Linked DNA regions of Nothobranchius furzeri. The protein of the gene in region 5 interacts with the protein of the main gene of each other region in a pairwise test. Links are inferred from orthologs where the notes say so. Each region holds a gene or a part of one and is shown on either strand. Other genes may lie near its edges. The genes, in order: tmub2, syt11b, serpine1, ptn, sgta, tmem174 and eva1ba.

Region 1 (4,899 bases), on a different chromosome or scaffold from region 5:
GATGTTTTTGTGAATAAACGTTTGAACCCACAGACTGACCGATTCAGACCACTGGAACTGGTTTGGTTGGAAATGCTTTAATGTTAGATCCACCTGAAACAAGACAAGTCCAGTATAACCAGGAGGAGTCTGTAAGAGCCAGACATCGCTTCATCTGATGCTAACTTATTATTTACAAGAAACATTTATACAGATTTTTCTCCGAAACGTGTTGAGTAAATGCTTTAATGAGCATATTTCTACAAAGCAGCAAGTCTTGGGCTCGCTCGCAGGCGTTTGCACTGTTTGTTTCTATTCATTCAAATAATATGAGTCAAAGTGGCGATGCGCAACAGTCAGTGGCTTTAAAGGAGTTCTTGTTTAGAAACCAGAACCTCGCTCAAGCAAGTTTCATGAAATTCTACCAGTTAAATATGAGACTAAGTGTTTAAACATGGTGGTGACCACATAGTCCTAACTGAAAAAATAATGGTGCAGTTAATCCTTATTAACTGCATTTAAACAGTACAGCTTTTTCCTAACAGGCTCACCTTGTTGCAGCATCAGTTCATCTTTCTTCTTTTATTTGAAGCTTTACAATATTTTACTGCATGTGAGAGCCAAGTCGCCGCCTTCTCAGCGGCTGTGCATCCCAAAAATGAGAAAGCTAAAAAACACAGTGACTCCCACAAGGGAGATGGTCGCAGGGGCGGTGAAGAACTGCCTGTAGTTGATACGAAAGTACCACACCACAGCCAGGATCACCACAAACACAGGCACCACCAGGCTGCTGGTGCTGATGGCCACACTTGCAGCTCTCAATCCTCCCGAGGGCCCAGAAGAGACCCCTGTTCCTGCCCCGGGCTGAGCCCCCTCCTCCAGGCTAGCTTCTTGCATGGACTGGGTGATGTGGCAGTGGATCACGCTGTTGTCTGTGATGTTTAGGGAGAACAAAGTCCTCTTGGGGTCCTGCAGCAACTGGCCTCTGAAGATCAATTTGATCTGATGCTCCCGACCAGGAAAGCATTTGCTAAAATAGAAGACGGATAAAATAAAACAAACAGGTCTTAATGTTGAGCAAACAAGCTGCAGACAGCTCAAATCTGTTACAGGGTATCTGCAGGTTTAAAGGAGCCAAATTTAAGACTTTTTAAGACCTTTTTTAAGGCCACTTTGACCAAATTTAAGCAATTTTTTTTTATTAAATTTAAGCTATAATTTCCAGCTATTGCCTGGAACCAGTGCTAACCACGTCGTGAACGTGAGATTAGCCATCCAGTTACCATTAATGTTGCACTTCCCCATGGCGCAAGCTCCCACTAGCATGCTCATCTAAAAATAGCCCCCTTTCACAACCAACCGAACGTGTACGGTTCCGCTTACGCCAACATCGTACACAAAAAATGCTGAACTAGAAATTCACGAAAATTTTACAGAAATATAAGAATCTTGTTTAATGGGTCTTTGGTAATTTAAGACCGTTGGAAACTATTTAAGGATTATTTGTAATTTTTAAGGATTATTAAGGCCTTCAATTTGGAAAAGCAAATTTAAGACTTTTTAAGGACCTGCAGATGTGTTTGTGAATGTCATTTGAAAGTATGAAATTAATGTCGGATTAGCTGTGAGGTATTTGTTTTGTTTCTTTACAAACCTTCTCAATATTCCTACTGTATCATGTGGCTCCACCACAGCCACTTCTTCTGAGTCATTTAAAAACTTCAACCGAACAGAGATGGAGGTAGTCGTCCCAGTGGTAGCGATGATGGTTCTGGTCAGAACTGGTGTAGGCTTTACTTGCTTTTTATCTACCCGTTTTAAATCCTCCACTTCCTCCTCCTCCTCATCATCATCATCCTCCTCCACCTCATCACGTTCATCCTCCTCTCCATCAGAAGCATGCAGCCTTCCAGCCTGAGGTTTTTTGCTCTGTATGTCCAGCAGAAGATCGGTCCACACCCCTTCAGCTCCAGCTCCTTCTCCTGTCCCCTCACCCTCTCCTCTCTCAGTCTCAGGCTCACTGTCGTCTGGCTTGTTTTCCTGTGAAGGTGGAGGGGTCTGCTGCTCAGGGGCATCGGCGCCAGCGGGCCCTCCGCTGTAGTTGTCGTGACCTCCCAGTCCTATGAGAGAGGCGTGAGCGCCCACTGTGAGGATGGTGCCCAGTATGTGGTCTCCTCGATCAGCTACGTGGGTGGAAAGCCAAGCCAAGATGAGGGCCAAGCCAAGGAGCAACATGCCCCCCGCTGCTGCTACCTCATCCCCCAACCCATCCATCATGGTCAGTGCAAAGACTGCCATCCCTGTCCTCCAATCCTGCAAGAGACGTGAATATGAGGAATATGACTCAAAAAGGGAACAAGGCCAAGTGAAACCACAGCATTTGCATTACTACATATTAACTCGAGTCCACATCTGCCACTAAAATTTAACATTGCACTCGATGTGTGGAAAAATATAACGGGACGCAAACTTGTTGTCCCCTGGTTTCAAGAGCAGAAACCACCAGAATTCAACCATCGTGACGGTCTTTTAGAGAAGGCTCAGAAGTTGCTGCAGGTATTTCCCGAAAACCCTGTTTTCCACCAAACGATGGTAGATATTTAACGAACTCAAACCCAGGTTATTTTGAATCCTAAAAGTAGTATATTTCAATATATAAACATTTAAAGAGTAAATTTAAAACGCATAGTCGTTAACGTAAAAACAAAGGAAGTGACAGTAGCAGATGTCAGTAAAGCTCTCCAGGTCTAAGCTTAGAAACTAATTACATTACTTGACAACAACGTTACACCACGTTTATGTTTATTGACATTCAGTCTTTAACCAGACGATAAAAAGCAGATTTACTGTTCTGCTAAACTGTCATGTTGTAGTTTTTGCTAGCAAGCTAACTTAGCCCTCCAGTTAGCCTAGCTAGCTAGCTGGCTGTCTGAAAAAAACGACCTTCGGCTGTTTACAACCGCATAACTCGGTTACTTTGGCCGCAACAGTTTTCACATTAAACGCAGGCATCGAGTGGACACCTACAGTCCCCCAATCCAGTCTACCTGGAGAAGTCTTACCTGTCAGCCGTAAAGTCAGAGCATGTCTAAACACCAGATTCAGTTCTAGTTAGCAGCTGCGGCTAAAAAAAAAAGAAAACAAGAATAAACAGTGCAGGCGGTGCGACGTCATCAACAGAAGGAGGAACCGGTTGTTATGGTAACGAGATTAGCTTGTTGCTTCTTTATTTTACTACATTGTGACAGTCAGAGCAGATGGTATCATCACTTCTCCTGGTGTTTATGGAGGTTTCTGATCTGACTTCAGCTCTTCAGGCTCGCTGAAGGTCTTTAGACCGGTTCCCTTCACACATCAGCTGATTCTGCTCACAGGGCACGATTATACCCACAATGCATCTGGGTGCACTATTTCCAGCAGCAAAAGTCGGATCAAGGAATTTATTTTAGGTTTTCTGTCAAACGCTGTGTGGCTGAAGGTAAGAGTGTGAATGAAATGTTTCCATCTAAATATACTCTAAACATGTCTAAATAAAACTCCCTGTTGGTGGATAAAAAGCCACAATGACAATTTAAAAGTATGCAGTTTTTTTATGTAGCCAAGGTTAAAATGTCTGTTTTTAAAAGTGACTTTTTTTTTACTTTTTGGAAAATGGTGTGATGAAAAGGAAACAAGCTTAAATTTATTGCATTTATTTATTCCCACTTTGAAATAAAAGCATTGATTTATATGTAAATACAAGATTAGTCAGGAAAATGGCTTTACCAATGATAAACAATAATATAACTTGTCTAATGTGTCCACAGATGGCACAGAAACATTAAAACTTTACTTTAGAGTCCCATCATTGTACAGCAGCAGATAATCCCTCACTGAGCTGGGAATGTCCAGTTTCCCGACAGCTGAGTGACATCGGGCTCCTAAATGCAGCCGCAAAGCGTGTCGACTCAGATGCTGCAGGGAGCGAGGCGAGGCACTTCGCTGATGCACCAAGTCTAAGAAAGGCCCGTGCTCCTGAGACACAGAGGCAGAAACACACCCACAGTGTGGAGGGTAATCAAAAAGAGAGTTCATTTATATCCTGTCACACATCTTACCTCATACACCTCATCAGACAGAGAGTCCATCCATTCACATGGAGGGAGGGACATGTATGAATTCAGCATCACTTCTAGAACGGCAGGGACCGGAGCACAGAGTTTCAGCATCTGCAAAGACAGCAATGACATCGATATCCCATAACAACGCTGACAAAGAGCCAAGCTGCAATAAAGAGAGGTTAAAGCATTCACTGGCTTTCTTTAAATAAGCTGCATTGTGTTTGCCTTGTTAATAGAGTAAAATTAAACTCACACATTTGTTTCCAAAAAGTATTTATGTATAAAATGAACAATCAAATAGAGTGAAATGGTCTACAGATAATCTATTAACTGAGAAAACAAAACAATCAAATGAGCCAAAAATGTTAAAAAAAAGAACAAAAATCATATTTCTGTAAAAAAAAAAAATAGATGTTATAGTTTGTGTTTAGTTCACCGAAGTGTAGGGTAGAATATCATCAACTGAGCACATATTTGTAAAAACCAACAATAAAAACTAAGTGAAGCTTGTGTTTTTATGCAGTGTGGCTGTCTGCATGAACCTTTGGTGAAACAGGTTTGGCTCCGTGGTTCAGAAGGGATCGCGCTATCTCCTCAGGTTGTTGGGTTTGGTAGTCTTCCACCACCTTTAGAGCCAAGCAGAAGTTTTGTTTTTATTTAAATAAAACATCTCTGACTGTCTCTATGGTGACTGCACATGCAGTGTTAAATGTTCATGTCAGCTACCTGCAACAGACAGTCCATTGGAGTGTACCCTGCACAGTTTTTAATGTCGGCTTTAGCTCCGTGCAGCAGGAGAACATCTGCAATTCTGGAGCAG
Region 2 (3,119 bases), on a different chromosome or scaffold from region 5:
GATTATGTCTCTAAAGACTTGAAGCATCTTTAGAAATGTTACAAAGTTCATCAAACCCCAATGATAAAGAATCAGAGATGTGTGTGTGTGTGTGTGTGTGTGTGTGTGTGTGTGTGTGTGTGTGTGTGTGTGTGTGTGTGTGTGTGTGTGTGTGTGTGTGTTTATAAAAGGACTTGATGAAAAGTAACAAAAAGGAACAAAAAGGCTGAATGTTTTCAGGAGCTTTGGTCAACTTTTCTGAGCAGCTTTTTGTTCTAAGACATCTGCAGCACATCTGCCCACTGCTTCAGACTTTTACATCACATTTTAGCCGCCGTCACTCGGAGGTGGAGGAATCAGGAGATGTGAACCGGTTTGAGTCCACATTAGAGTTGGAGCTAATGTGGGGACGGACTGTGACTTCCTGTGGTTCTGGATCAGGACGCCGCGTTTCTGCAGGACCGCTGCAGACGGGAAGCATGCTGACGACTAAATCAAAGACCTTCTGAGAAGGAGGTTAGTCAGCGCGGAGAAGCGTCAGAGCGGGATGTCCGAGGGCGTCAGCACCAGTTCTTATACTGAGGAGTAATTCTACTGGATATAGTCAGTGTTGGGTTATGTTGTTATGGAGCTGAGGTTTCTCCCAGATCATCACTCAGGTTTACTTCTTCTTTTCAGACAGACATGCAATGAAGTGCATGACAACGACAGCGAGAGGGGATCTTTTCTTTTTTCTTAAGTAAACTTTTAGTTTTTAATTATACGAGAGCATTCCTTCCCCCGTCTACACACACACAGCCAGAGGAGACACGAGGACAGTGTCTGAAATGGGCCGCTTGTTTGTTTGTTTTTTGTTTAGTAAAAGAACCGCAGGAATCTTCTTACACTTGCAAATGTCGTGTTTGTAAAGAGATAATAGAGACGAAGAGTTTAAGTATCACCACAACAGTGTGTGTGCTGCAGGAGTGTATGTGTGTGTGTGTGTGTATATGTGTGTGTGTGTGTGTGTGTGTGTGTGTATGTGCTGTACACTGTTTGTTTCCAGTGGGGGTTCACTGGTGGAGTCCCAGCTGCTCGGTGCCATCAGCTGGTTCCTGAAGCTTCTCCTCCTTCAGTACTCGCTCAGGTTGTGCCATTTGGAGATCTGCCGGCGGGGGTTTTCACACACCTCCCTCCAGTGGGAGGTGCCAGAGGACGACGGGCTGTGGAGACCGAGGAGCAGGCGGCCCAGAACCTCGTTCTTGGTGGTCCGGTCAAAGTCGACCACCAGGAACTCCACAGATATCTCAGGCAGGAGTTCTGGTGGGATGTCGTAGATGAAAGACTCGTTGAAGACCGGGTTCAGTGTGCACTTTTTCACGTGGGTCTTCTTCTTGGCGATGCGCTTACGGCCATAGAAGACGTTCACCTTCACATACGGATCTGATGGCAGGAGAAGAATGTGTCAGATCATTAGGTTTTCTGCTCAAATACCAGACGTTCTGGAGTCATCCTCCTTTAGCTGAGTGGTTCTCTATATGCTGGTCTGAGCCCTGAGCTTCACAGGATGTGGTTTTGTTTGGTTCCCAGGAGGGAATTCCCCTCACTGCAGGGATCAGGACAGGAAATCAGATGAAGGAATATTAAATGAGAAAAAAATCAGGAGGGCAGCTGAACATTATTCCACCTGCACAACTTAATGCGACGTCATTTTCTGCCACACAGGACATAAGGTTTGAGAGAAGAAGAAGGAATGAAGAGTCCTAAGAGACCGTTTCAACCTGATGTTGATGGAAAAGGTTCCTGGGATCAGTTGATGCTGATCTGGAACCAGTTTAGTGATTTCCGACCAGTTCTAAGGCTGATGAAGCGCAAAGAAGTGGGTCAGATTAGGATCATGGTGGCAACCGTCCACCTGGGGTTTCTGTCTCTTATACTGACAGAGTTCCTTCACCTGGGCCTGAGCTGAGTTGGTTCTGGTTCTACTCACTGGCTGACAGGCCGCTGATGTCCATCTTAGGGAGGTGTCGGGCCTTCAGAACCACAGCGCTGAGACGATGGGACACGGGCTGGTAGGACAGGGACACCAGCAGCTCTCCACGACTCTCACACTGAAACAGAACCAGGAGTAAGTGAGTTGGGCCTGTTTTCTTTTGTTAGTTTCTCTCTCAGAACTTTTAGACACCATAAACTCACAGCTGCCGCATCTTTTCTTTTGAATAAAAACAAACACCAAGATGTTCATGGGACGTTTCCTGAGAGTCAGTTGGTCCTCGCTGACCAACAGGAGCCAGTAGAGGACCAGGATGAGCAGCATGACGCCAGAGAAGAGACTCAGAAGGCCTGGCTAATAAAAGCTTACTTTACTCAGATCAAACATGGCTGACCTGTACGGGGACTTTTACATCAGGCTATTGACTTAATCAGGTGGTTAAGTAGTGAGGGGAGCTGAAGTGATCACGACTTGTGGCGTCTTCAATACCGATAACATGAAGCATGATAAAACAATGAAGCCTAGTGACTTAGCCCCAGCTGGACAGCAGACACATTCTTCTGTAACGAGGCCTAAACCTTGCAGGATTCCAGCCGACACTAACCTGATGAAACCAGAACACAGCAGCTGATTGTCTGGACCAACCAGTCGCCATGGTAACAGCTGACAGAAGCATCAGTCAATCAGACAGAAACGGCAGAGGAGTGTTTTCACATGGCGCCACACTGACAAGATGATTGTGAGTTATTGAGTCCAACTCAACGCTGAATCTCAGCAGGACCACCATTTAGCTGAATTAAATGACCTTTGACCTTTTCCCAAAATGTCAGTAAAAGAAAAAATGTAAAGTGTTGAGTCTGAGGTGCTGAAGGAGGTCTGAACTCACCTGCATGTTCCTCTTGGTGATCTGCTGGCTCAGGTGGACCCGACCAGTGCTCGGGTCCACACCTTTCAGTGGCACCATGGCCTCCCCGATGACATCATCACGGGCAAAGCGGTCAAAGCTGAGGACCAAGAAGTGCAGCGTGAGCTCAGGCAGCGAGCTGTAGGCCACACCGTAGAAGGTGAAGGTCTCATCAAAGATCGGGTCCAGAGTCTTCCTCAGCACACGTGTCTTCACGCGATGCTTCTTCTCAGGAAGGATGGTCATCTTCACATACGGGTCGGA
Region 3 (4,344 bases), on a different chromosome or scaffold from region 5:
TTCAGCTCTGCATTCAGGGTTGATGAAGAACCTTGCAGAGTGTTAAGAGTCTGTAGAATCCAACAATTTATTCCAGCTGATATAATCTGTGCCTACCTGTAGCCGATGCTCCATTTGTTCCTTGCTCATTCACTTCGATCTTCACTCTCTGCAGGACCTTTGACACACACAGCCTCTCATTGGCTGTAAGATATAAACAAGAAGCTATGAGCTCCCAGTGTCATCTTTCAGAGTTCACCTGCATCATTTGGCTTTGGCGTGGCTCAAGGATGTCATTTTATTTCATAACATGTAATTATTATTGATAAACTCATGAACATGTCAGAGTTCAAACAGACAACTACTAACAGGTTTAAGACAGAAATAATGTTATAGACGCAATTTGTTGAAGATCTTGGGCTTAAACATACAAACAGAGAAAAATACATATATGGCAGACCATTGATACCCGACTAAATCTCCTGAGATACCAACTCACGTGTTATATGTGTGAAGTTAGCGGTACCCAAGCTGAACATGTCTCCAAGTCCCATTTTGATCAAAGCAGCCTTCAGATCCACTTCAGAGTTTAGAGAAAACCTGACACAACAAATAGAAATCAGTGACGTGTATTATGCCTACTGCTCTCCATTCACAGGTTCAACAGGTTAATGTGGATCTGTTTAATTTCAAGTCTTTTTTATATAGTCTGGCTTTGAGAGGCTAAAAGACAAGAGGAACACCTATCGCTGGGCTTAGGAAAGAAGAGTTACACACACTTTCAGAGAAAGTCTTCACTGTTTGTCGAGCAGCGTCAGTTACCAGGTGTGGAAAGTCACAAAGATTAGGTTGACCACCAGAGGCCTTGGGAAGGCTCCTTTCAGATGTGTGTGTGTGTGTGTGTGTGTGTGTGTGTGTGTGTGTGTGTGTGTGTGTGTGTGTGTGTGTGTGTGTGTGTGTGTGTGTGTTAATGACTAATCATCAGCCTCTCACTAAAGGACTTAATTATCCTAACAGACAGAATCTGTCATCTCTGTTAAGTCTCCAGTTACACTGTTATAAAGCATCTCTGTTAAGTCTTCAGTTACACTGTTATAAAGCATTTCTGTTAAGTCTCCAGTTACACTGTTATAAAGCGTCTCTGTTAAGTCTCCAGTTACACTGTTATAAAGCAATTCTGTTAAGTCTCCAGTTACACTGTTATAAAGCGTCTCTAAGTCTCCAGTTACACTGTTATAAAGCATCTCTGTTAAGTCTCCAGTTACACGGTTATAAAGCATTTCTGTTAAGTCTCCAGTTACACTGTTATAAAGCGTCTCTAAGTCTCCAGTTACAGTGTTATAAAGCATCTCTGTTAAGTCTCCAGTTACACTGTTATAAAGCATTTCTGTTAAGTCTCCAGTTACACTGTTATAAAGCATCTCTGTTAAGTCTCCAGTTACACTGTTATAAAGCATCTCTGTTAAGTCTCCAGTTACACTGTTATAAAGTGTCTCTAAGTCTCCAGTTACACTGTTATAAAGCATCTCTGTTAAGTCTCCAGTTACACTGTTATAAAGCATTTCTGTTAAATTTTCAGTTACACTGTTATAAAGCATCTCTGTTAAGTCTCCAGTTACACTGTTATAAAGCGTCTCTAAGTCTCCAGTTACACTGTTATAAAGCATCTCTGTTAAGTCTCCAGTTACACGGTTATAAAGCATTTCTGTTAAGTCTCCAGTTACACTGTTATAAAGCGTCTCTAAGTCTCCAGTTACAGTGTTATAAAGCATCTCTGTTAAGTCTCCAGTTACACTGTTATAAAGCATTTCTGTTAAGTCTCCAGTTACACTGTTATAAAGCATCTCTGTTAAGTCTCCAGTTACACTGTTATAAAGCATCTCTGTTAAGTCTCCAGTTACACTGATATAAAGTGTCTCTAAGTCTCCAGTTACACTGTTATAAAGCATCTCTGTTAAGTCTCCAGTTACACTGTTATAAAGCATTTCTGTTAAATTTTCAGTTACACTGTTATAAAGCATCTCTGTTAAGTCTCCAGTTACACTGTTATAAAGCGTCTCTGTTAAGTCTCCAGTTACACTGTTATAAAGCGTCTCTGTTAAGTCTCCAGTTACACTGTTATAAAGCATCTCTGTTAAGTCTCCAGTTACACTGTTATAAAGCGTCTCTGTTAAGTCTCCAGTTAGACTGTTATAAAGCATCTCTGGTAAATCTCCAGTTACAGTGTTATAAAGTGTCTCTGTTAAGTCTCCAGCTACACTGTTATAAAGCGTCTCTGTTAAGTCTCCAGTTACACTGTTATAAAGCGTCTCTGTTAAGTCTCCAGTTACACTGTTATAAAGCGTCTCTGTTAAGTCTCCAGTTACACTGTTATAAAGCGTCTCTGTTAAGTCTCCAGTTACACTGTTATAAAGCGTCTCTGTTAAGTCTCCACTGTTATAAAGCATCTCTGTTAAGTCTCCAGTTACACTGTTATAAAGCGTCTCTGTTAAGTCTCCAGTTACACTGTTATAAAGCGTCTCTGTTAAGTCTCCAGTTACACTGTTATAAAGCGTCTCTGTTAAGTCTCCACTGTTATAAAGCGTCTCTGTTAAGTCTCCAGTTACACTGTTATAAAGCGTCTCTGTTAAGTCTCCAGTTACACTGTTATAAAGCGTCTCTGTTAAGTCTCCAGTTACACTGTTATAAAGCATCTCTGTTAAGTCTCCAGTTACACTGTTATAAAGCGTCTCTGTTAAGTCTCCAGTTACACTGTTATAAAGTGTCTCTGTTAAGTCTCCAGTTACACTGTTATAAAGCGTCTCTGTTAAGTCTCCAGTTACACTGTTATAAAGCGTCTCTGTTAAGTCTCCAGTTACACTGTTATAAAGTGTCTCTGTTAAATCTCCAGTTACAGTGTTATAAAGTGTCTCTGTTAAGTCTCCAGTTACAGTGTTATAAAGCGTCTCTGTTAAGTCTCCAGTTACACTGTTATAAAGTGTCTCTGTTAAATCTCCAGTTACAGTGTTATAAAGCGTCTCTGTTAAGTCTCCAGTTACACTGTTATAAAGCGTCTCTGTTAAGTCTCCAGTTACAGTGTTATAAAGCGTCTCTGTTAAGTCTCCAGTTACACTGTTATAAAGCGTCTCTGTTAAGTCTCCAGTTACACTGTTATAAAGCGTCTCTGTTAAGTCTCCAGTTACACTGTTATAAAGTGTCTCTGTTAAATCTCCAGTTACAGTGTTATAAAGTGTCTCTGTTAAGTCTCCAGTTACACTGTTATAAAGTGTCTCTGTTAAGTCTCCAGTTACAGTGTTATAAAGCGTCTCTGTTAAGTCTCCAGTTACACTGTTATAAAGCGTCTCTGTTAAGTCTCCAGTTACACTGTTATAAAGCGTCTCTGTTAAGTCTCCAGTTACACTGTTATAAAGTGTCTCTGTTAAATCTCCAGTTACAGTGTTATAAAGTGTCTCTGTTAAGTCTCCAGTTACACTGTTATAAAGTGTCTCTGTTAAATCTCCAGTTACACTGTTATAAAGTGTCTCTGTTAAGTCTCCAGTTACACTGTTATAAAGTGTCTCTTTTAAATCTCCAGTTACAGTGTTATAAAGTGTCTCTGTTAAGTCTCCAGTTACACTGTTATAAAGTGTCTCTGTTAAATCTCCAGTTACAGTGTTATAAAGTGTCTCTGTTAAGTCTCCAGTTACACTGTTATAAAGTGTCTCTGTTAAATCTCCAGTTACAGTGTTATAAAGTGTCTCTGTTAAGTCTCCAGTTACACTGTTATAAAGTGTCTCTGTTAAATCTCCAGTTACACTGTTATAAAGTGTCTCTGTTAAGTCTCCAGTTACACTGTTATAAAGTGTCTCTGTTAAATCTCCAGTTACAGTGTTATAAAGTGTCTCTGTTAAGTCTCCAGTTACACTGTTATAAAGTGTCTCTGTTAAATCTCCAGTTACAGTGTTATAAAGTGTCTCTGTTAAGTCTCCAGTTACACTGTTATAAAGTGTCTCTGTTAAATCTCCAGTTACAGTGTTATAAAGTGTCTCTGTTAAGTCTCCAGTTACACTGTTATAAAGTGTCTCTGTTAAATCTCCAGTTACAGTGTTATAAAGTGTCTCTGTTAAGTCTCCAGTTACAGTGTTATAAAGTGTCTCTGTTAAGTCTCCAGTTACACTGTTATAAAGTGTCTCTGTTAAATCTCCAGTTACAGTCTTAAAAGGCGTCTCTGTTAAATCTCCAGTTAGACTGTTATATAGCATCTCTTTTAAGTCTGTACTGGAGAGGGAAAGAAACCTTTGAGGTCACTAACAGAACCCTATTCTCCACAAGAGTAGGGTTCTGTTGCTTTCTGACAGGCAAACCTAAAGCAGTGCAGTCAAACCA
Region 4 (4,344 bases), on a different chromosome or scaffold from region 5:
TGACCCCGAACCCTAAATGACCTCAGGGGTGATGAGTGTTGAAACACAACAATCTCAATGATTGAGGAAAACCAGTCAAACTTCGAGCATCTTTAAGAGGAACATAACCTCATAATTTGGAGGCAACAGGATCAGTTGGAACTGTTTTCACATTTCCTGATGATATTTTAATGCAACTTTTTACTTAACCTTTTTTCTTATCTGAGGTCCTTTTCACTGATAGATGATGAATATTTTTGTCTGGGCTGTGTGGCAATGTGGTTGGAAGCACTGTTGCCTTGTAGCAAGAAGGTCAGAAGGTCAAATCCCAGCTGCAGCTTTTCTCCATGGAGAGCATGTTTTTCCCCTCTATACATGGGTTTCGTCCAGGTGTTCCACTTTCCTCCCAACGGTGAAAAAAACCGATCCCTGCCTCTTGGAGGGGCCACTATCCTTCATGTTTTAGTTGTGTTTCTGCTCCAACACACCTGATTTTAACCAGCAGGTGATTAACAGACTTCTGCAGAACCTTGTGATCTGCTGAAGAGGTGATTCAACTATAGAGTCAGATACACTGGAGCACAGAAATAACTAAAGCATGCTGGACAGTGGGCTTCTAGGACCAGGATTGTAGCCTAGAAATCTAGACAGACAGGAGGCGAAGCAAAATGATTTTGCTCTGCGTTTCGATTTAGTCACACTCCATTAGGGTTCCCATGAAGAAACCGGAAGACATAGCACAGAAATTTCATCCTAGCCCGAAAACCTACAGGGAGCCAGTGTAATGAAGCCAGCACAGGAGTAATGTGTGCTGATTTCCTCATCCCTGTCTGGAATATGGCTGCCAAATTCTGGACCAATTGTAGATGTCTCAGTGCTGCCTGACACAATACAGGAGGTATTTGCATCTCCATTGACAGTCTGTGGTAGACTGACCCGTAGACTTACATCCATAGTGTTGAGTACGTCACATTATTCATTGTCCAATGGCATGTGGAGACAGTTTGAAAGACAACCCTAGATTTTGTCCCATGACTTTGCTCTGTTTATGGGTCATGGCCGGACTCTATTTTCACATATATAGGATGCCTTGCCAGGCTACCAGGATTGGGCACTCCTTGTCCCTTGGTGTGAGTGTGTGACTGGTTGTTTGTCTCCGCGATGGACTGGAAACTCGTCCAAGGTGTACCACATCTCTCACCCGCTGACTGCTGGAGTTAGACACTACTACCCTGCTGAGGATGAAGAGTTTTAGAAGATGAAGGAGTGATTTTTTTTCTGTTATTTTCTGTATGATGAGTGTGTTTTTCTTGAAACTTGATGATTGCTCCTATGTGATAAATTCTTACTCATGAGACTGTTTGGTCTGAGCACAAAGTCATTTCTGCTCCAGAATGATGTGGTGACTGTTTGTACTGCCTGCTCACATTCAGCCAATGGCAGCAGAGTTGATTAGACACACCTCCTCAGTGCAGATGAAGAAAACAAAATCAGTGCAGGAGGTTCCGCAGGTACAGTCAGACACCAAGCAATGTCCAAGTCACATTTGATTAAGTATATTATTTAAAAGTGTATCAATGCTGAGCAGTACACCTCAATTATCTTTTCAGACCCTGGTGCCACGGTTTTGCAGACACTGTGATTCATCAGCATGGCTTCAGCGAGTCCATGAGGCTGCAGATGAGCTCAAAGTGTGCAGCGAGGGGTTTGGGTTTATCAAACCACGATTTATTCTTCTCACCTTGCAGCTTGGTCTTTAGGATTTTCCCACATGGCTTGGTTGCCGTGACGGTGGCGGCGCAGGTCGCGTCCATCAGTGCTCGCTTCAGAACCCCCGTCCTGTTCTTCTTGCCTGTCGCCAGATCACACTCCCCCCAGGCCTGGAAGTCATACTTGCACTCCCCTAAAGAAAAATTAAAGAAAAGCAGAATTCAGATGGCTTGGTTTAGTGAAGCACTGAAAAAGGACAGAACTGACAGAAAAGCTTGTAAAACGACACAAGGCTGATTCTATATTTGTTTTAACTGCAGTGACTGACTGTAAGGAGCGCTCTGAGCTAAGGGATTTGTGAGTCATAGACCTTTAATGGCTCTTTGATGAGCAATTGGCTGATACCTCCATGTAGCGACTTCATAAGAAGCTTATCTCTGCAACAAAGGATGTTTTTCCCTGTAGAAACAGATGGCACCTTACAGTTTTGATCTGATGTTCCTTACATGACGACATGCGCCAACTGATGAATGCAATTGGGAAAACTAGTTTCTCCATCTTGAAAAAGGCAGATCCAATCTTCAGCTGCTGATCAGTAAAATGAAAGCACATATTCTTGTTGCACATCCACACAGTCAAAAGGGATGCAGAAGCTGGTGCACGCTATAGACGTGACTTTAGAGAGCATGTGTGTTTGCGTATTTTCTCCTTTATTTTCTGGCGTCAGTCCAGCTGTGCTCCCTCGAGGCTGTGACACTCATTCGTCAGCTCCCTCTCACATAAAAGCTCGTGTCACCGCTGCCAAGATCCCAGAGTGCTCATCAGAGGCGAGGAGGAGAGGTGAGGACACCGAGGGAAGGAGAGCGCAGAGAGGGAGTGACAGGGCCATTGTTGCAGGAATCCCACAGGGACCTCCTGAGCAACCAACTTTAAAAAGCCCGGCGTAATTTATGTCTGGGAGAGATAGAGAGCTCCCCGCTCATTGAGGTTTTGTCAGGAAACTAATGCCTTCTTTGAGGTGACGTGAAGAAATATATTAAAGGTTGTAAGACACTGCTGAGTATTTGAAAGTAGATTTATCAGGAGTAACAATGCAATAAAGCACCATTAGTACTGTTCTGCAGTCATTCAGTTACAAATGTTTTCTCTGTTTTTGGTCCGGCTAACAGTGGCGTGCCCAAGCCTTTCCATACGGGGCCCCTGGTGGGGCACTTGTTTATGCATGGTGGCACCTATGGTCATGCTTTTTTGTTTGTGTGTGTGTGTGTGTGTGTGTGTGTGTGTGTGGGGGGGGGGGGGGGGCAAAATTATTCAGTTCTTTCATTTAAGTGATTTCATGAACGCCACATTGTTTCTTCTTCTTCTTCTTCTTCTTGCAGCTGCTGTGGTGGTTAATGAGCCACTTCAGTGAGCTCAGTCAGGTGGCTCCTGGGGTGGCCAATCAGATTCCAAGACTGGCATATGCCAGGCCAATCCCTGTACTCCCCTCCCCACAACTCTAATAATAATAATAATAATAATAATAATAATAATAATAATAATAATACACTTTAAGGGACTTAACGGATTTTTGAATTTTTATGCTTGTGATTGCCCCCTCAGGCCAAAAGTGTAACAGCAGCTTCAATAGTAGGCTCGTGCACGAGGCACGCATGCTGTACGTGCACACTCCTTAACGAAAATAACAGCTGAGACAGTCCATTGTGTGTGTGTGTGTGGGGGGGGGGGGGGGGGGGGGGGGGGGGGGAGGACAGGAGAACGCGCAGCTAATTAATTAAATAATTTGGTTCTGTAGCTTTCTCTTCAGCACAGCCGACAAAGGTTTAAGATGGGTCAGTCCTCCTGCATGCTCAGATCATTCCCTTCCCTTGCTTGAAAAATTGTTCCAAAATGAAAGTTGAACCCACATCTTTTTTATCTGTGAATTCAATGCCGTTCGGAGAGTCTCAAATAAAAACATTGACAAAGTGGCACTACCTCTCTCTCTGCTGCTAAAGCTACTGATAGCAAATGCTACGGGCTATGCCTGAGCATGAACACGCATGAAGCAGCCTGCTCGACCCGAGCATCTCTCTTTTTCTGTGATTTCACAGAAAAACAGGCGATCACAGTAAAAATGCCAGGGCTCATTCTACAGGACCTGGGCATTGCAGGAGTATGTAAGAAGAAGACATTTATTATTTCTATACATGTTTTGGCTGTCAAACTTCCATAATGCCCCTTTAATTCGAGGGCACTTTTCTCAAAACCAAGGACAACTTCAAGTAAAAAAAACAGGGATACAATCATTACAAACAACACAGAGGTTGGTAGAGCAATAAGAGCAAATAGGATACATAAAAATCCAAACATTTTAAGATCTTAGGCCCTGTCCACACGTAGCCGGGGATCTGCCAAAACGTAGATATTTTTCTACGTTTTGGCCTGTCATCCACACGAAAACAGAGTTTTTTCACATGAAAACGGATCTTTTTAAAAACTCCGGCCAAAGTGAAGATCTGCGTTTTCTCCGTTTTGGGTGTCTGCGTGTGGACGGACAAAACCGGAGTTTTAAGGTCCGCAACGTCACTTTCCGCGACAAAAAATGCTGACATCACGTGTGCGACCTGTGTTTACACTAGCCGGCATCATGGATGCCCTCAGAGCTGCGCTCGC
Region 5 (4,783 bases):
GCGCTTGCCAAATTTAGCACGTCTGTTTATAAGAATGTTCTCGTTAAGAGAAAAACGGCACAAACCCATAACTATGTTCCTCATTCAAAAAAGGACAACTCTGCGGTGAAAAATATACAGACAAGCTGTGTCCAGGTGAATATAACGCGGCATAGTTGTACGCTTTCAATTTTTAAATACAGGAGAAATTCAGAAAAAGTCATTTTTTTACTATTAAAAGGCTGTTTTACTGTCTAACGCTGTAAAACGCCTCACAACACATTTTTATCATGTTTCTTAAACAGTATTACACAAAATAAACATTTTTCACATTTCTCTAGCTAATTTAAACACTCCCGACTCAAAGTAAAAACCTCATGAGCTTCTTACTCTGAGCTTTTTAATAGTAAAAAAATTAGACTTTTTTTCTTAATATCTCCTGTTGCGGGCTATTTTGTAGAACGTAACCCTCAAAATAAATGATCACTGTATATTGTTAATTAATTCAAATAATTTAACATTGATTTAGTGTTGTAGTGTGTGTGCTGCTTTATTTTATATGTGTACTTATTTCAGTCTATTTGTGTTTCTTATGCAGAAAAAAACAAGCAACGATGGACAACTACATGGGGAAGAAGACACTCACCCCCCAGCAATGCATACCACTTACAAACTCTATTCTAAACATGCTGGTAAAAGACATGAGGCCACTATCCATGGTGGAAGGAGCAGGCTTCCAGCTAATGCTAAAAAATTATTCTGGACTGATATTTTGCACTGTTTAGCTCATTTTCTACTGCTGACTGTGTTCATGTGCAATAAAATAGATTGCAGTCAACTGCACAATTCTCTTATGTTTTTTTTTCTTAACTGAAATGCATCCATCACTTGTATAGGTTAAATAGCTAAACAGTAACAAACCGATAATCGATTAATCGAAAAAATAATCGACAGATTAATCGATTATGAAAATAATCGTTAGTTGCAGCCCTAAACGTAACACATGTCTATAACAGCATCAGTGGGGCTGGGTACCATGAAGTACTTATTCATACTACTACTTTAACGATGGCGAGAAGAGAGGATAACAAAGTACTTAAAGGTTGTGTTCTTTATATTATTTTATTATATTTATTGATATTATACTTTATTCCAGCAAAGCTGCAGTGCAAACAGTAAAGGCCCAACATGTAAACATGAATAAAGCAGCTTCATTAGTGCTGACTTCATGTCAGTAACAGCAGTTAACAACAACCTGCTGAACTGCTTTTATAACAGCAGCCAGGTCTGCTGTCATCAGCCTCCATCCTCACACTCCTCCAGGGCTTGGGAAGGTGATGGACTCGGGTTGACTTGGTTGCAGTCAGAGACGTTCCATGTTCCAGCTCTTAAGATGCCGCCCTGCACGACCAGGTGCTGGTGAAACTGCTGCTATTCCTGCTGATGCATTTAGCTGCTGCGTACTTTAGCTAAACGACCCAAACGTTTGTTTTCTAGTTAATGTTGCTGAAAGGAGACGCGCCTGCTCCACTCATAACGTGACCCGGGATCAGTCATGTGACCTGCAGTGGCACATCGGGACATTTTAACACTTTTTTCTGATATTTGGGACCTACCAAGGCCGGATTAACCATATGGGCAACTGGGCAATTGCCCAGGGGCCCATGAACTCTAAAGGGCCCAGGGCAGCAAGGGCAAGAGCAAAATACTGTATCTGTAATCTCCTGCTTTCAGTGGCGGCTGGCCAGTAGAGGGTGATAGGGCGCCGCCCTCCCAGTTTTCCCCAGTGTTTTTAATTTTAATTAAAAAAAAATAAATAAAATTAACAATAATCACATATTCTAAGTTAATTGTGTGATTTGTAACAAAAACAAATCATATATGTATATATCTATATTGGTGAGAAGCTCTCTGCCGAGCGGTGGAGGCGACAGAAAGGCTGTAGGCTGTGTTTCAATCGCCCAAACAGCACGGAAGCTGCCGGCCAATTGCTGACAAGAAAATCAAACGGTAGGAATGGGAATGTATCCAATCAGCGTCGACGTCGATTCAGAAGCATGATGGGCGATAGAGCTACCGCCAAAGGCTTTCGTTGGTATTCGGTAGAACTCGGAGAGTCTCGACTACTCCAGCACGTTTTTGGTCGTGACGCAGATGTAACATGGACGCCGCCGGTGACTACAACCAGCATGGATACCGGATCTCAGCAGCCACTGAATTCAGTTCGGTCTCTTCTCCAGTATCCGTTCGAGAGGAGAACTATGGTGGAAAACTTAATGTCAAAGAGCTTGGACCAGAAGAGAGGGCCTCAAGTTAAGACCCTCTCCTCATTGGTCAGTCCACACGAGGTGGGTCAAAGGTTACCCTGAGCGGGTTACGTGATGTCAGGCATTCAAGTATTGAGTATATTTACTGCATATTACAGTAAAATATTCTGTATGTGACCATATTGTGGTGATTCTTGGGTTGTTATGATGGGGCCCTTGAATATTGTTGCCCAGGGTAACAAAGTGTTAATCCGGCCCTGGGACCTACGAGTGTTTCCACTCAGTCCCAAAGAGGTCCAGAGTTCTGGAACCCGCCCTAGGCGTCAGTCAGCCTTTCTCATGAGCTGAGATGTTCTATGTTCCTCCTCTGCTGGAGGTCTGTGTGGTCCACGCGCACGCGCACACACACACACACACACACGGTGTGTGTTTACCGTTTTGGATCGCTGCTGTAGCGCGGGAGCTGAATACGTCACGTGTTCGGAGTATTTAGACCCGAGGCGGTTCTCTATTATTGGTTCCGCCACTCTATTTATGCTACGTTATAAAACAATAAGGTGTAATATAAAAATGATGGTGGTTGACAAATGAAACTCTAGAGGACAAACACGGTACGGGTCATTTACGTTCCGCACTCATTTTAGACCTTTTAAGGAATCATTTCCAAATTCCTAAATTCAACGCTGTTAGGACTTTTTAGACCCCGCGGAAAGCCTGCAGCCAGGACCGAACCGGAAGCTCGTCCCTACCCACCTGTCCTTCTGCAGGAGTCCGGATAACGAGCCAGTCCTCCGGGGCTCAGGCAGCTCCAGGGTCCGCAGAAACACCTCCACCTCTCCGGACACGAGCCTGCCCGTGACCTGGAGCTGCGTCCTGCTGAGGCTCCAGAGCCTCACAGGAAGTAAAGATAAAGTTAATAACCGTGTCTCTAAAATCCTCATAACGAATCATTTCCGCCTCCGACGAGCAGAAATGAAATAAATGAGGACAGACTTTTGCAGCTTTCCTCCTGAAGACGCGGTCAGCTAAAGGCGCGTGAGCGGGTTCATCTGAGGTGTTTAACTGGAATCTTTACCTGTTAAGTTGTTCTCACCTTTAAAACGATGGAAAAGGCGTTTGTATTTTTCAGCGCTACGGCGGCCCTACAGGGACAAACTACGTGAAGCGCGACTTTCCCTTTGACATCGCCCCCTGCTGGTCTGTTTGTATAGTTCATTTACTCCAATTATCCATAACATTATGACCACCGGTTTCCACTGAACGCGTCAGAACAGCAACCATGAGAAGCTTGACCTTTCAGCCTAAGAACCCACAGCTGGACTCCAAATTCAAACTCCCGCTTGAGTAGCGAACACTTGGAGAGTCATCCATTCACCACGGACTCCAGGGTGCACACACCTTATTTCAGACTTCAGTTAGGATTGATGACACTGAAGCGTTAACCATAAAATCCTGACCTGAGGTGATATTCAGACATTTGTGGACTGGCTTACATTTAAAATTACAGAATAATGAACCCTTCAAAAGTAGCAAAATACAAGATTCATTGGCAACCTTCTCATTTTTTTCTGTAAATATATATTTACGTTGTTGTTTTAATTAAAATAATTCACAATTTATCTCACAATTCTACATGTGTTATATATATATATATATATATATATATATATATATATATATATATATATATATATATATATATATATATATATATATATGTATATATATATATATATATATAAACACATGTAGAATTGTGAGATAAATTGTGAATTATTTTAATTAAAACAACAACGTAAATATATATTTACGTTGTTGTTTTAATTAAAATAATTCACAATTTATCTCACAATTCTACATGTGTTTATATATATATATATATATATATATATATATATATATATATATATATATATATATATATATATATATATATATATATATATATATATCAGATGTTTTAAATGTGCCTGCAGGTTAGGGTTGTTGTGGAATTACAAAGTTTTTGTTTAGTTTGGTTTTTTTCCTGCCAGGTGTTCATTGTTGAGTTTCTCGCTGCTGAACCTCATCAGCTAAGAGTTTTAGGTTATGTGCTCTAGTTAATGAAAGGAAGATTTAAAAGATTTTTTAAACCTTTATTTAACCAGGATAGAGACCCATTGAGGTTAAGAACCTGGCCAAGAGGCAGCAAAAATACAAACAGTTACAACGTCATGACAATGATAAAACACTCAGTCATTAGAAGCAGTTACAAGTTACTAATGCAATCTCTGAAGCTGTCAGTTTGGTTTTGAAGGCATTTAGTGAAACTTGCTCAGTCATTTTCCAGGTTTTCTGCAGCTGGTTCCAAGCGGAAGGAGCAGAGCAGGCGAGGGCTCTTTCCTAACTGTGTGCGAGCAAAAGGAACAGGAAGCAGCAACTGATGGTTAGACCTTAAAGAATGGGAATCAAAAATTTTTTCATGTGATTGAAGTGCAAATATAAGGAGGTAACAATCCAAACACTGCCTTGTAAATAAAAACATACCAATGATTTTG
Region 6 (4,881 bases), on a different chromosome or scaffold from region 5:
TTTGCATGTCACGGCTTGAGCCGAAACGTCCTGTACTTGTGTGTGTTTGCCACACACACACACGCTGAAATGTTTGCAGACTGTTTAAAAGAACTATTTGAGAGTTAGGTTACCCTAAACAGAAGTTGTCATGTGACTCGCATCACCTGCCCTGTGAATGAGTCCGTTAAGGTGCTGCAACGTCGCTCGATTTCACAGCTTCCCTGAAGCTTCTGCTTCCAGCGGTTCATGGGAACATTTCTTTTACCTTAGCAGACATCTTGGATCAGATCCAGTTGAATCTACAAGCATGAACTGTGTGTAATGGTTCTAGCTGTGAAGCTAAAACACCCGGTAATATGGAATGTTTCTAAGCCCTTCGCCTCTGCACACTTGCTGAGCCTCAGCAGCACGAGTTGCTGATAATAAGTTATGCACAACGGCGCAGTCAGACAACATATCTGCAGGAAGTGAAGTGTAACCCTTCAGATCATGCCTGCAGAGTTTTCAGTGTTTGACCTTTCTCCCCGCAGCTCCTCAAGCAGACCATGAACAGACATAAGGGGGAGTTTACATCTGGTGCTAACATGACTTCTGGCTGATCCACTCATGGTTGGACACCTCTGAGTGTATTGGTTTGTACAACACACGTCCACATGCATTTGGAGTGGCCACATGTGATCAGATTTTCTTTCCCCTCTCGCTATCAGCAAATAAACACGAGACCAACATTTCCAACAGCTTGCTCCTATCCTCTCAGCCGTGGAGTTTTGTAACGTCCTTTACTACCGTGCTTTGTTGGAGATGACAGAGCGGCGTGAATCATGGTTTTGTGAAGGGATTCCTATTCCAGCCTCATCACTTCCCGTATTGACTACTGCAACGCTCTTCTCTTCGGTCTTCCTCACAAAACCCTCCGGAAACTCCAACTTCTCCAGAACTCGGCAGCCCGCATCATTACCAGAACTCCCTCCTTCCACCACATCACCCCTGTTCTTCAGCAGTTCCACTGGCTCCCAGTCACTTCCAGAATCCAATTCAAAATTCTGCTATATACATTCAAAACCATCCATAACCTAGCTCCACCGTACCTCTCAGACCTCCTTCATCCTTCAACCTCCACCCGTTCCCTCAGGTCCTCCTCCTCCATCCACCTCTCTGTCCCACCTCTCCGTCTGGTCACTCTGGGGAGCAGGGCCTTCAGCCGCTCTGCTCCCCAGCTCTGGAACTCACTCCCTCCTGACCTCCGTAACATTGATTCCCTCACTCTCTTTAAAACCAGACTCAAAACTCACCTGTTCCGTCTAGCATACCAATAATTACTCTCTTTGCTCCAATCTGTCTGTTTGTTTTATGCTGTTTTATCTTTTATTGTTGTGTATTTTATCTCTGCCTGTAAAGTGTCCTTGAGTGTTTAGAAAGGCGCTGTTGAAATAAAATGTATTATTATTATTATTAGTTTTCAGCTTTAGGGGGTTTAAAGTTATTGTTTCACCACAAGGAGGCTGCAGCCCCACTTTACCTGTTAAATCCACAAATGTGTGAGGAACAGCTTTGTGATCTGTCCTTGTGAAGTCAGCATGAATGAGTGCTAATCTTTCTCCTGCACTAATGTCAGCTTCTCCATCTTCTCCTGTGGTCCTAACACTGCCCAGTGGTGTCACATCTTATCTTAGTTAATTATTTACAACAAACCAAGATGCATTTTATTGACTTCATAAACTATTTAATAATCTGACCATTTCAGTCAGAAGCCACATCATTCTGACCCCCCCCCCATGTTTACGTGACTAACGGGATGCAAAGCAGGTTAACCTGTGACTTGTTCTCTTGGCTGTAAGCATTCAGAGTTACTCAGTGTTCATGCAGCTGAACTCACTGTTCCATGCGGGACACAGGTTGTCCCAGCTTGAGTGTTTACACACTCAGAGAGCTCATGCACCAACAAGGACGTCAAGACCGCTGGACCAACATGGTTGGACAACGACCTGAGTTAGAGACCAACAATGATGCTCCACGGCCACAGCTGTCTGAGAGTTTGTTGGATGGCGAGAAGACTGCAGCGGCCTTGTTGCTATCCGGAGTCCTCCTCGCTATGGTGGGTGTCACCTTCACTTCGATGGGCTGGCAATACTACCAAGCTAACCTCAGCTTCCAGTGGACTCAGCTTCTGGGCCCTATCCTGATCTCAGTTGGTGGTACCTTCTTGCTCACCAGCGTCTGCAAGTTGAGGTTCCTTTCTTGCTGCAGACAGCAGGAAGAGGAGGTTTATGTGATACCCGTCAGAGAACAAGGCTCTGGAGGACACCCTGTAGTGGTTCGCAGCATTAATTCACCAGAGATGCTCCCGAGTGCTGCTGCAATGCTTTGCATTCCACCAACTTACAGCTTCATTACCCAGGAACTGTACCAAGGAAATCAGCTGCAGCCTGGTACGACTGTGAGTGGAGTTAACACGGGCCCTCCGACTTATGACACTGTTTGCTGTGCAGGAAATGCTGGATTCACTGCAGAAGACAGCGCAGCCCACACCTCACAAACAGGCCAGAAGAGGATAAGCCGGTAAAAAAATTCATAAACGTGTCTTTGTAAGGGAAAATGCATCATTTCCCTCATTCTTTACATGAGTTCCTGTTAAAAGACTCATTCACCCATTTTTTCCCTAGTAAATATGTGGTCTTGAGTGTTAATGAATGCCTTGTGAGTCATTTTCAGTGGGGAAAAAAGCTCTGGTGCTTCGGTTTTAATAATAATAATAACAATAATGCATTGAACTTATATAGCACTTTTCTAGACACCCAAAGACGCTTTCACACACTCTCACATTCACACACTGCTAGTGATGGTAGGCTACTTTGTAGCCACAGCCGCCCTGGGGAGGTCTGACAGAGGCGAGGCTGCCATTTGGCGCCGTCGGCCCCTCTGATCACCACTAACACAGGCAAGTTGGGTGAAATGTCTTGCCCAAGGACACAACAGCAGGATACCCCTGGCGGGAGCTGGAATCGGACCCATGACCCTCCGATCATGAGGCAACCCGCTCTACCACCTGAGCTACTGCTGCCCCGTTTTAGGAAGTAGAAGTTTTTCAGAGGAGAAGGGGTGGACAAAGAGGATTATGAGTCTAACTCGTTACTTTTCACGATATGCAAATATCTAGTCTCTGATTGGCTAACAACAGCACAACTCTTCTGCTGCCTTTAACAAAGTCAGAACACTGTAAAACACATGTTCTTGGGTAAAAATTAAAGTTGATGTCTTATCTCCACAAATTCTTCATGCCCGAACTGGTTCTGCCATGTTGTGGAGTTTCTAATGCTAACGGTAAACTTCTACTCGCTGAGACGCGCTCTGCTCTCTCCTGGATGCAAAATTACTACAACTTTCTTTGGTCACAGGCCATGGCGGGCGAGGATATGAATGCTAATATTCCATGTGACATGAGAGACCGGCTCCGTTTCCCATCTATTTTCTTTCTGCGGGGGTTGAAAAAATGTTGACATTCAGTGTGAATATGCAAATCAGTAACCAATCATATTTCTAAAAGAGCAAGTGTCACACGGTTTCTCAACATTTAAGGCCTCCATTAATGAAGACGTAATGAAGATACGTGTCAGAACCTGGATGGTCTTTGTAAAGTCTTTACAAGGTGTTCCGGCTTTTATTAAAAGCCCCATGGCCTCCCTATTAACAGGGCGGGGAGGGTTTTGAGCAATATTCTGTCTCAAGGAGGTGGTAATTAAAAATCATGAGCCGTGTTTCCACTATAAGAATTCTGGGAAATTCTTGGATGGGATACAGAGTTGCTGCGTCTCCATTCAAACTCAGCCCTTGCTGGACTTTGCTAAGGCATCCGCATTTCCCGAATGCTTCAGCAGTGATTGATGTCACTGATCAGAGTCAAAAAGCTTCCACAGACATTATTGACTTTAAAAGTTTTACTCTGTTATAGTTCAGCACAATTTAATTGAGTCGGAATAACCGGGAGAGCTGTTGAATGATGTGAAATGACCAGAAGAAGCGTCATTTATAATAAAACCCTGTGAATTTTGTCGTTTTGGGGGAATTTCCGCTGCATTTATTGGTGTTGGGAGTTTGGTAATGGCAATGTTAAAGCAGCGTGAACACTCTTTTTCTTTCTCTTTTATTCCCATCACCAGCAACTTTTCAAACTTTACAAATGCTAGTTGTTAGCTAAAAGTTCTGCTCAGCGACTCTACCGGGTCATTCGAGGTACTTATGATGACGACCCGCACTTGTATAGCGCCTCTCAGAGTAAGGACTCCAAAGCGCTTTACACTACAGTGTATCATTCATCCATTCACACACACACATTCACACACCGATGGTGATGTGCTACAATGTAGCCACAGCTGCCCTGGGACGCACCGACTTACCCCTGTTTAGATATAAGACATGCCCAGAAACTGGTCCTTTTGGCTGGGCCGTTGAAGTGGAAACACGTGCGTGCCGTGAAGTTCCAGTAAAATTATCCTTCAGTTCCATTAATGGAAACACGGCCATGGTGAGAAGTGTACACGGGCCAAAAGGGACCATGGAAGCAGCACATCTATGATGTGTGACCCCAATGGCCCTGTGTGACTCCGGTACTGGGAATGTGTGTTGGCTAAGATCCTGTCACACCATGACATACCAGCTCAGTGGCCCAGTTGTATGAGTGAAACTGGGAGATTCAGATTCATGTTTGGGTCATATCACTTAAACAAACGGGACCCGATGCCTCCCTGCTTGACACTCAGCTTTAAGGGGTCGGATTGGGGGAGAAATGCAGCACGACCTTTGGAAAGCCCAGGGTATAGCATGGTTTGTTGTGATTGAAGCGGCAACCCTTTTTGACCCAACTGGTAGATGTTGACAACTGCTATGGTTGACGTAGGGATA
Region 7 (4,846 bases), on a different chromosome or scaffold from region 5:
GCCATTACTCTTTCTCCCCTCTCTCTCTCTCTTTTTTTAAGGTTGGGCCCAGAGGAGTGTGTTGGAGGAGTGTAATCGAGATAATAACACAGCTACACAGCTGTTGATGGGGTGTGTGGAGGAGAGCCAGGTTAGAAGTCAGCATGTTAAAAGGTTGACTTCAGAGAACATTCTGTGGACAGGACCCAACAGGTCAGATGAGAGGATGATGGGAAAAGGTGACTGAAGTGATGCTTTCGAAGTCTAGAAATCTAGACAAAACAGAGCAGTAGCAAAAGATTTAGCTCTGCAGGTCGATCTAGCCATGCTCTATCGTGGCCTCAGCAGGTCTAGGCTAGGCTAGGTCATTGACTAGGCTAAGTTTAGGTCGAGCCAATCACAGCGCTTTATGTTTGTAGAGAAACATTGGGCTGTCTAGCCCCATTACGACAGAGCTTTTTCTTTTTTTATACAAGGACAACAGAGCTGTGACGGAACGAAACAACAATAATGGAGGTGACATTAGCATTAAATTTAGATAATTTAGACCTGGGCTTTTGTCAAAGGCATGAGCGAAGAGAGATACCTTTTCTTCTTCTACTTCTTCTTTGACAGTGTATTGTGGACGGCCCCATTGACTGATTTCCATCACTATGAATATGCCATATTTTTCCTTGCATTGATTGGTCCTAGTTCTGTCTAATTGCATGTGGAGAAATTTTGAAAGACAACCATAGATTCCACCCCAATGTCTGAGTTCTGTCTATGGGTCGTGGTCACAGTGCATTACGCCCAGGGACACAACAGCAGCATTCTCTGGTTAGAGCCGGGATCAAACCTGCAACCTTCCGATAACCCGCTCTACCTCCTGACCTACTGCTGTCCAGGAAACATCAAGGGAGGTTGCAGAAATGACTAGAACTGGATTAAAACCTGTCCAACGCATTATTAAAAACTGATGGACCATGTTCCAGAGAGATGGTGCATCAGGGTAAGAAGAGAGGCAGATGAAGGGATGCATCCATCATGCCTAGTGCCTACTGTACTGTGGGGGCAGTGCTATGATCTGGGGTTGCTGCAGTTGGTCAGGTTCAGGTTCTGCAACAGGATGTGCTCCAAGAATGAGGTCAGCTGACTGCCTGAATATCCTGAATGACCAGGTTATTCCATCTTCCCTGATGGTACTGGAATATTCCAAGATGACAATGCCAGGATTCATCGGGCTCAGATGGTGAAAGAGTGGTTTTGAGTCCAGACCATAACTCCATTGAGAATCTTTGGGGGGTGCTGGAGAAGGCTTTGTGCAGCGGTCAGACTCTACCATCATCAATGCAAGATCTTGGTGAAACATGAATGCAACACTGGATGGAAATAAATCTGGTGACATTGCAGAAGCTTATCAAAACAACGCCACAGCGAATGTGTGCTATAATCAAACTAAAGGCGGTCTAACAAAATATTGGAGTGTGTGATCGTTTCTCTTGGTGGTAAAATATTTTTGGGCCAGGCAGCGTATTTACATATATAGGATGGCTTGCCAGGAAAATGCTTTTGTGAAATGAATAAAAAAATTCATCTATCAAAAGATAGCAAATAAATTCACAAGATTTTCACTGTTCTTTTCCTTTTTTTTTTTTTTTTTTTTTTTTACCGTGTCCTGTCTGGCTGTGAAGCAAGCAGAATTGATGTCTGAATGCTGGTGACAAGCCTTACAGATTTACTCTCAGGTGGAGCATCAAAGCATCTGCTTTTAATGTCACGCCTGATACTTAAAACTTTATTGTTATTGTTTTTGAATGCTTTGTAATTCCGACCAGACACGGAGACAGAGGTGAAAGAGAAAGGAAAAGAAAAGGTGGGGAGAGAGGAGGGGGGGGGGGGGGTCCACAAAAATAAACAATGAACAAGAGTCTGCTTCTAGACCTGCAGAAAAAAAAGCAAAAGGACAAAAAAGGGACACAACAACAATACAACAAGATCAAGCTATCACTGCGTCAACTTGATGAAAAAATATATTCGTAAAAAATATGTTCGTGCCCAAACCCATACTTTTGAGAGCACCATGTGAGCACCTGTGTGTGTACATGCGCTTGTTTATTTAAGGTTTCTCTGTAGGAGCGTCCAACAGAGAGTGTGAGGGACCACAGATCTGCCCCCCAAAGATGCGCAGGAGATGGGGGAGCTCCAAGTCCCAGAGATCCAGGCGCTGCCCCAGAACACAGGAACCCCAAGGAGACTGCAACCAGAAAGCCCCCCCCCCCCGAGAGGCACAGAGGATCGCCCCGGGGGGCCACAACCAGCAGCCGGCAGAGTCCCGGGAGACATCAGCCGCAAGGCCACAGGCCCGCCCGCAACCTCCCACCCCCTAGCCGGCCGAGCCCGGGACCCAGGGGCGACCACCCCTGCCGGGGACCCAGCAGAGCCCAGGGACCCAGACCCCACCAGGCAGCCACCGGGATCTATCAGGCAGATGCCAAAACCTTAAACCCCCAGACCCGGTTGCCACAAACTCTCAGGCAGACCAAGGCCCAACCCCTCACACCAGGTGTGGCAGGGGGAGGGGGGACGAAGATCTATATCATCAAGAGAATTTTCACTGTTCTTTTCCTTTAAGAATAAACTAGAAGACATTGTGTTTGCACTGCAAAATAACAATCTCGCACAATCACTCTAAAAGTGCTACAGTTACAGCACTCCACACCCATAATATTTGGTACACATCACTCACTTTTGTCCCTCTGAACCATTCAGGCATCTGCTTCCTGTTGGCCCCCATGACACAAGCTCTAGCTCCATGTAATCATTCATCACCATCGCGCTTCCTGTGCTCTCCATCCTGCCATCCCCCTCTGTGGGAACTGTTGACTCATGGTTGACTAAATCAACAGCTTTGACCAGAGGCACCCATCTGGACGGCGGTCAGCGCTTCCACCCGCTGGTCGTCTACCTCTTCTACCGGAACAAACCCCCTGCAGCTTTTAGTCAGCACACAAAACACTTGTGATAACAACATGAGCTGATGTTTACTTGGGAACAAGGACTTTGACACATCCCAGTAAAAGGGCAGAAATTGTGTCAAAAGGGAATAAACGGTCATGCATGTGCCATAAATAAATTGTCGTAAAGCCATAAAGCATTTCATTATGACTGAGTGTCTGTGGGGAGTGAATGCTCGCTTCTCCAGCCTTGTTTATGACAGAGGTTAAAGCCGGTGGCTGTATGCCAGAGGAGGGGTGTTGTCACAAGTTGTCATATCCTCTGCATGCATTCACACCTTTAGAGTAAACAACTGAAGTCGGCAAAGGCTGACTTCTATCAACAAGGAGCTGAACAAGATCTGATGTGCAGAACGAAGTTAATCTTTTTTCTTTTAGCAACAGCAAACTCAACAAAACACCTTCCATTAGACACAGATGAGAATAAATCGCTGACATGTCAAATAAAGCTGGCTGAATTCCAGTGGTGGACGGCTGGTGAAACACATTCTTGGTGGAGCGATGCGTGAAGATTACCTTTAAATGAAAGGCTGGAAAATTAGTACAATTATTGTAATTATTATTATTATTATTACAAAGCCTGACAGATCTACTTCACATTGTCACTTAACATTCATGGACTCACCCATCTTGACCGACAACAGGGAAGGCTGTGGCCTGGTTTAGCTTCTAAGAAACTTTAGAGAACGTCTCGACTAGTAGAAGCTAACTGTTAGCTTTAGCAACAAGGCAGAACTCCTTCAGGCTTGTGTTTTTTGTTGAGATAAAACAGTGGTAGAGTCGCATTGCAGTTAACCCAATATCAGGAAATAAGACTCCAAATCCTGCTGTCTTCAGCTCAACTCTGATCTGGCCCACTTCTAGTTCCTCAAACAGGTAGCCTGTAGCCAGGTAGCCTAGAAATTTAGACAGACAGTTGCCAGAGAAAAATAATGTTGCTCTACATGTCGGTCTAGCCATGGTCCATTGGAGCCTCTGTAGCCCTGACCAGTCTGGTGGCATGCCAATCACAGTGCTTTATCAATTTGGGGGCCAATCAAAGCATTTTAGCTGTTTGGGAAGCCATTCAAAGTACTGTCTGTTTGGGAGCCTAAACACAGTGTTCTGTTTGTTAGTGGCGATGCGACAGAGCGAAACCACAAAGATGGCTCATTTGAATCGACTTGAAATGAAAAGACTTGTGCTTTTCTTTGAGTCAAGAGCAGATAGAGGTACTTGTGCCCTTTATTTGGAAAAATGATGTACTTGTGTCTTCTTTGACTGTGTATGGCGGACTGCCCCATTGACTGACATCAGTAGCGGTGAGTATGTCACGTTGTCCAAAAGCATGCTGAAACAGTTTGAAAACCATAGATTTTGCCCCTCAGCTGAACTTTTTCTATGGGTTGCGGCCAGACTACTCACATAAATAGGATGGCTTGCCAGGCTATCTAACAGGCGCACCAGAGCTTTTGTCCCCTAAAGAAGGACTTATAAGACATTTATTCCACTAGAGATCTCTGCAAATGTATTAACGTATGAGTAAAGGTCCAGACCTATAGTATTTCTACACCCAAAAAATTAGGGAATGCACGAATTAGACAAAGTCACGTCTGCAAATAAAGTGCAACCAAGCAGCACACATTCTTCAGGCCTCCCATCGACAGGGGAATGCTTCAACACTACTCCCTTGGTATGGAAACCATCTGCCTCACTTGTAATCAGCTTGTGCAGTGTCAGGCTGTTTACACTAACGCTGCATGCTTCGGAAGAAAGAAAAAAAAACAACAGGCAAAACATCATAAATCAGCTTCCTCTGAACCCCCCAACACAAGTTTATGCAACCTGAACACACTCTGATGCTTATCGCTGATAAAATGAGTGATTTGTGA

What was found.
Region 1: the proteins of sgta (region 5) and tmub2 interact in binary tests that used the Homo sapiens proteins (3 or more experiments, as listed by UniProt). The two-hybrid records come from large-scale screens. The link is inferred for Nothobranchius furzeri from reciprocal best matches to the Homo sapiens genes SGTA and TMUB2.
Region 2: the proteins of sgta (region 5) and syt11b interact in binary tests that used the Homo sapiens proteins (3 or more experiments, as listed by UniProt). The two-hybrid records come from large-scale screens. The link is inferred for Nothobranchius furzeri from reciprocal best matches to the Homo sapiens genes SGTA and SYT11.
Region 3: the proteins of sgta (region 5) and serpine1 interact in binary tests that used the Homo sapiens proteins (3 or more experiments, as listed by UniProt). The two-hybrid records come from large-scale screens. The link is inferred for Nothobranchius furzeri from reciprocal best matches to the Homo sapiens genes SGTA and SERPINE1.
Region 4: the proteins of sgta (region 5) and ptn interact in a two-hybrid assay, tested with the Homo sapiens proteins (2 studies listed by BioGRID and IntAct). The link is inferred for Nothobranchius furzeri from reciprocal best matches to the Homo sapiens genes SGTA and PTN.
Region 6: the proteins of sgta (region 5) and tmem174 interact in binary tests that used the Homo sapiens proteins (3 or more experiments, as listed by UniProt). The two-hybrid records come from large-scale screens. The link is inferred for Nothobranchius furzeri from reciprocal best matches to the Homo sapiens genes SGTA and TMEM174.
Region 7: the proteins of sgta (region 5) and eva1ba interact in binary tests that used the Homo sapiens proteins (3 or more experiments, as listed by UniProt). The two-hybrid records come from large-scale screens. The link is inferred for Nothobranchius furzeri from reciprocal best matches to the Homo sapiens genes SGTA and EVA1B.

Annotation. Positions count from the first base shown.
Region 1 is NC_091745.1:10,231,019-10,235,917, forward strand, and holds tmub2 (transmembrane and ubiquitin-like domain-containing protein 2), read right to left. Parts: upstream 3,249-4,899; 5' UTR 3,042-3,248; intron 2,293-3,041; 5' UTR 2,278-2,292; coding exon 1,634-2,277; intron 1,010-1,633; coding exon 616-1,009; 3' UTR 62-615; downstream 1-61. Other genes in the region: asb16 (ankyrin repeat and SOCS box protein 16), read right to left, coding at 3,808-3,993, 4,077-4,187, 4,622-4,705, 4,806-4,899.
Region 2 is NC_091745.1:59,981,767-59,984,885, forward strand, and holds part of syt11b (synaptotagmin-11b), read right to left. Parts: coding exon 2,838-3,119; intron 2,070-2,837; coding exon 1,949-2,069; intron 1,402-1,948; coding exon 1,091-1,401; 3' UTR 1-1,090. UniProt on the Homo sapiens protein: Synaptotagmin family member involved in vesicular and membrane trafficking which does not bind Ca(2+). Inhibits clathrin-mediated and bulk endocytosis, functions to ensure precision in vesicle retrieval.
Region 3 is NC_091743.1:88,606,750-88,611,093, reverse strand, and holds part of serpine1 (plasminogen activator inhibitor 1), read right to left. Parts: intron 580-4,344; coding exon 479-579; intron 184-478; coding exon 97-183; intron 1-96. UniProt on the Homo sapiens protein: Serine protease inhibitor. Inhibits TMPRSS7. Is a primary inhibitor of tissue-type plasminogen activator (PLAT) and urokinase-type plasminogen activator (PLAU).
Region 4 is NC_091741.1:42,130,975-42,135,318, forward strand, and holds part of ptn (pleiotrophin), read right to left. Parts: intron 1,883-4,344; coding exon 1,721-1,882; intron 1-1,720.
Region 5 is NC_091748.1:79,890,599-79,895,381, reverse strand, and holds the start of sgta (small glutamine-rich tetratricopeptide repeat-containing protein alpha), read right to left. Parts: upstream 3,140-4,783; 5' UTR 3,000-3,139; intron 823-2,999; exon of another isoform or gene 578-822; intron 1-577. UniProt on the Homo sapiens protein: Co-chaperone that binds misfolded and hydrophobic patches-containing client proteins in the cytosol. Mediates their targeting to the endoplasmic reticulum but also regulates their sorting to the proteasome when targeting fails.
Region 6 is NC_091746.1:66,617,012-66,621,892, reverse strand, and holds the start of tmem174 (transmembrane protein 174), read left to right. Parts: upstream 1-1,855; 5' UTR 1,856-1,864; coding exon 1,865-2,541; intron 2,542-4,881. UniProt on the Homo sapiens protein: Regulator of plasma phosphate homeostasis. Decreases serum inorganic phosphate (Pi) uptake by regulating the sodium-phosphate cotransporter SLC34A1 trafficking by PTH and FGF23 in the kidney.
Region 7 is NC_091745.1:70,961,536-70,966,381, forward strand, and holds the start of eva1ba (eva-1 homolog Ba), read right to left. Parts: upstream 3,072-4,846; 5' UTR 2,708-3,071; intron 1-2,707.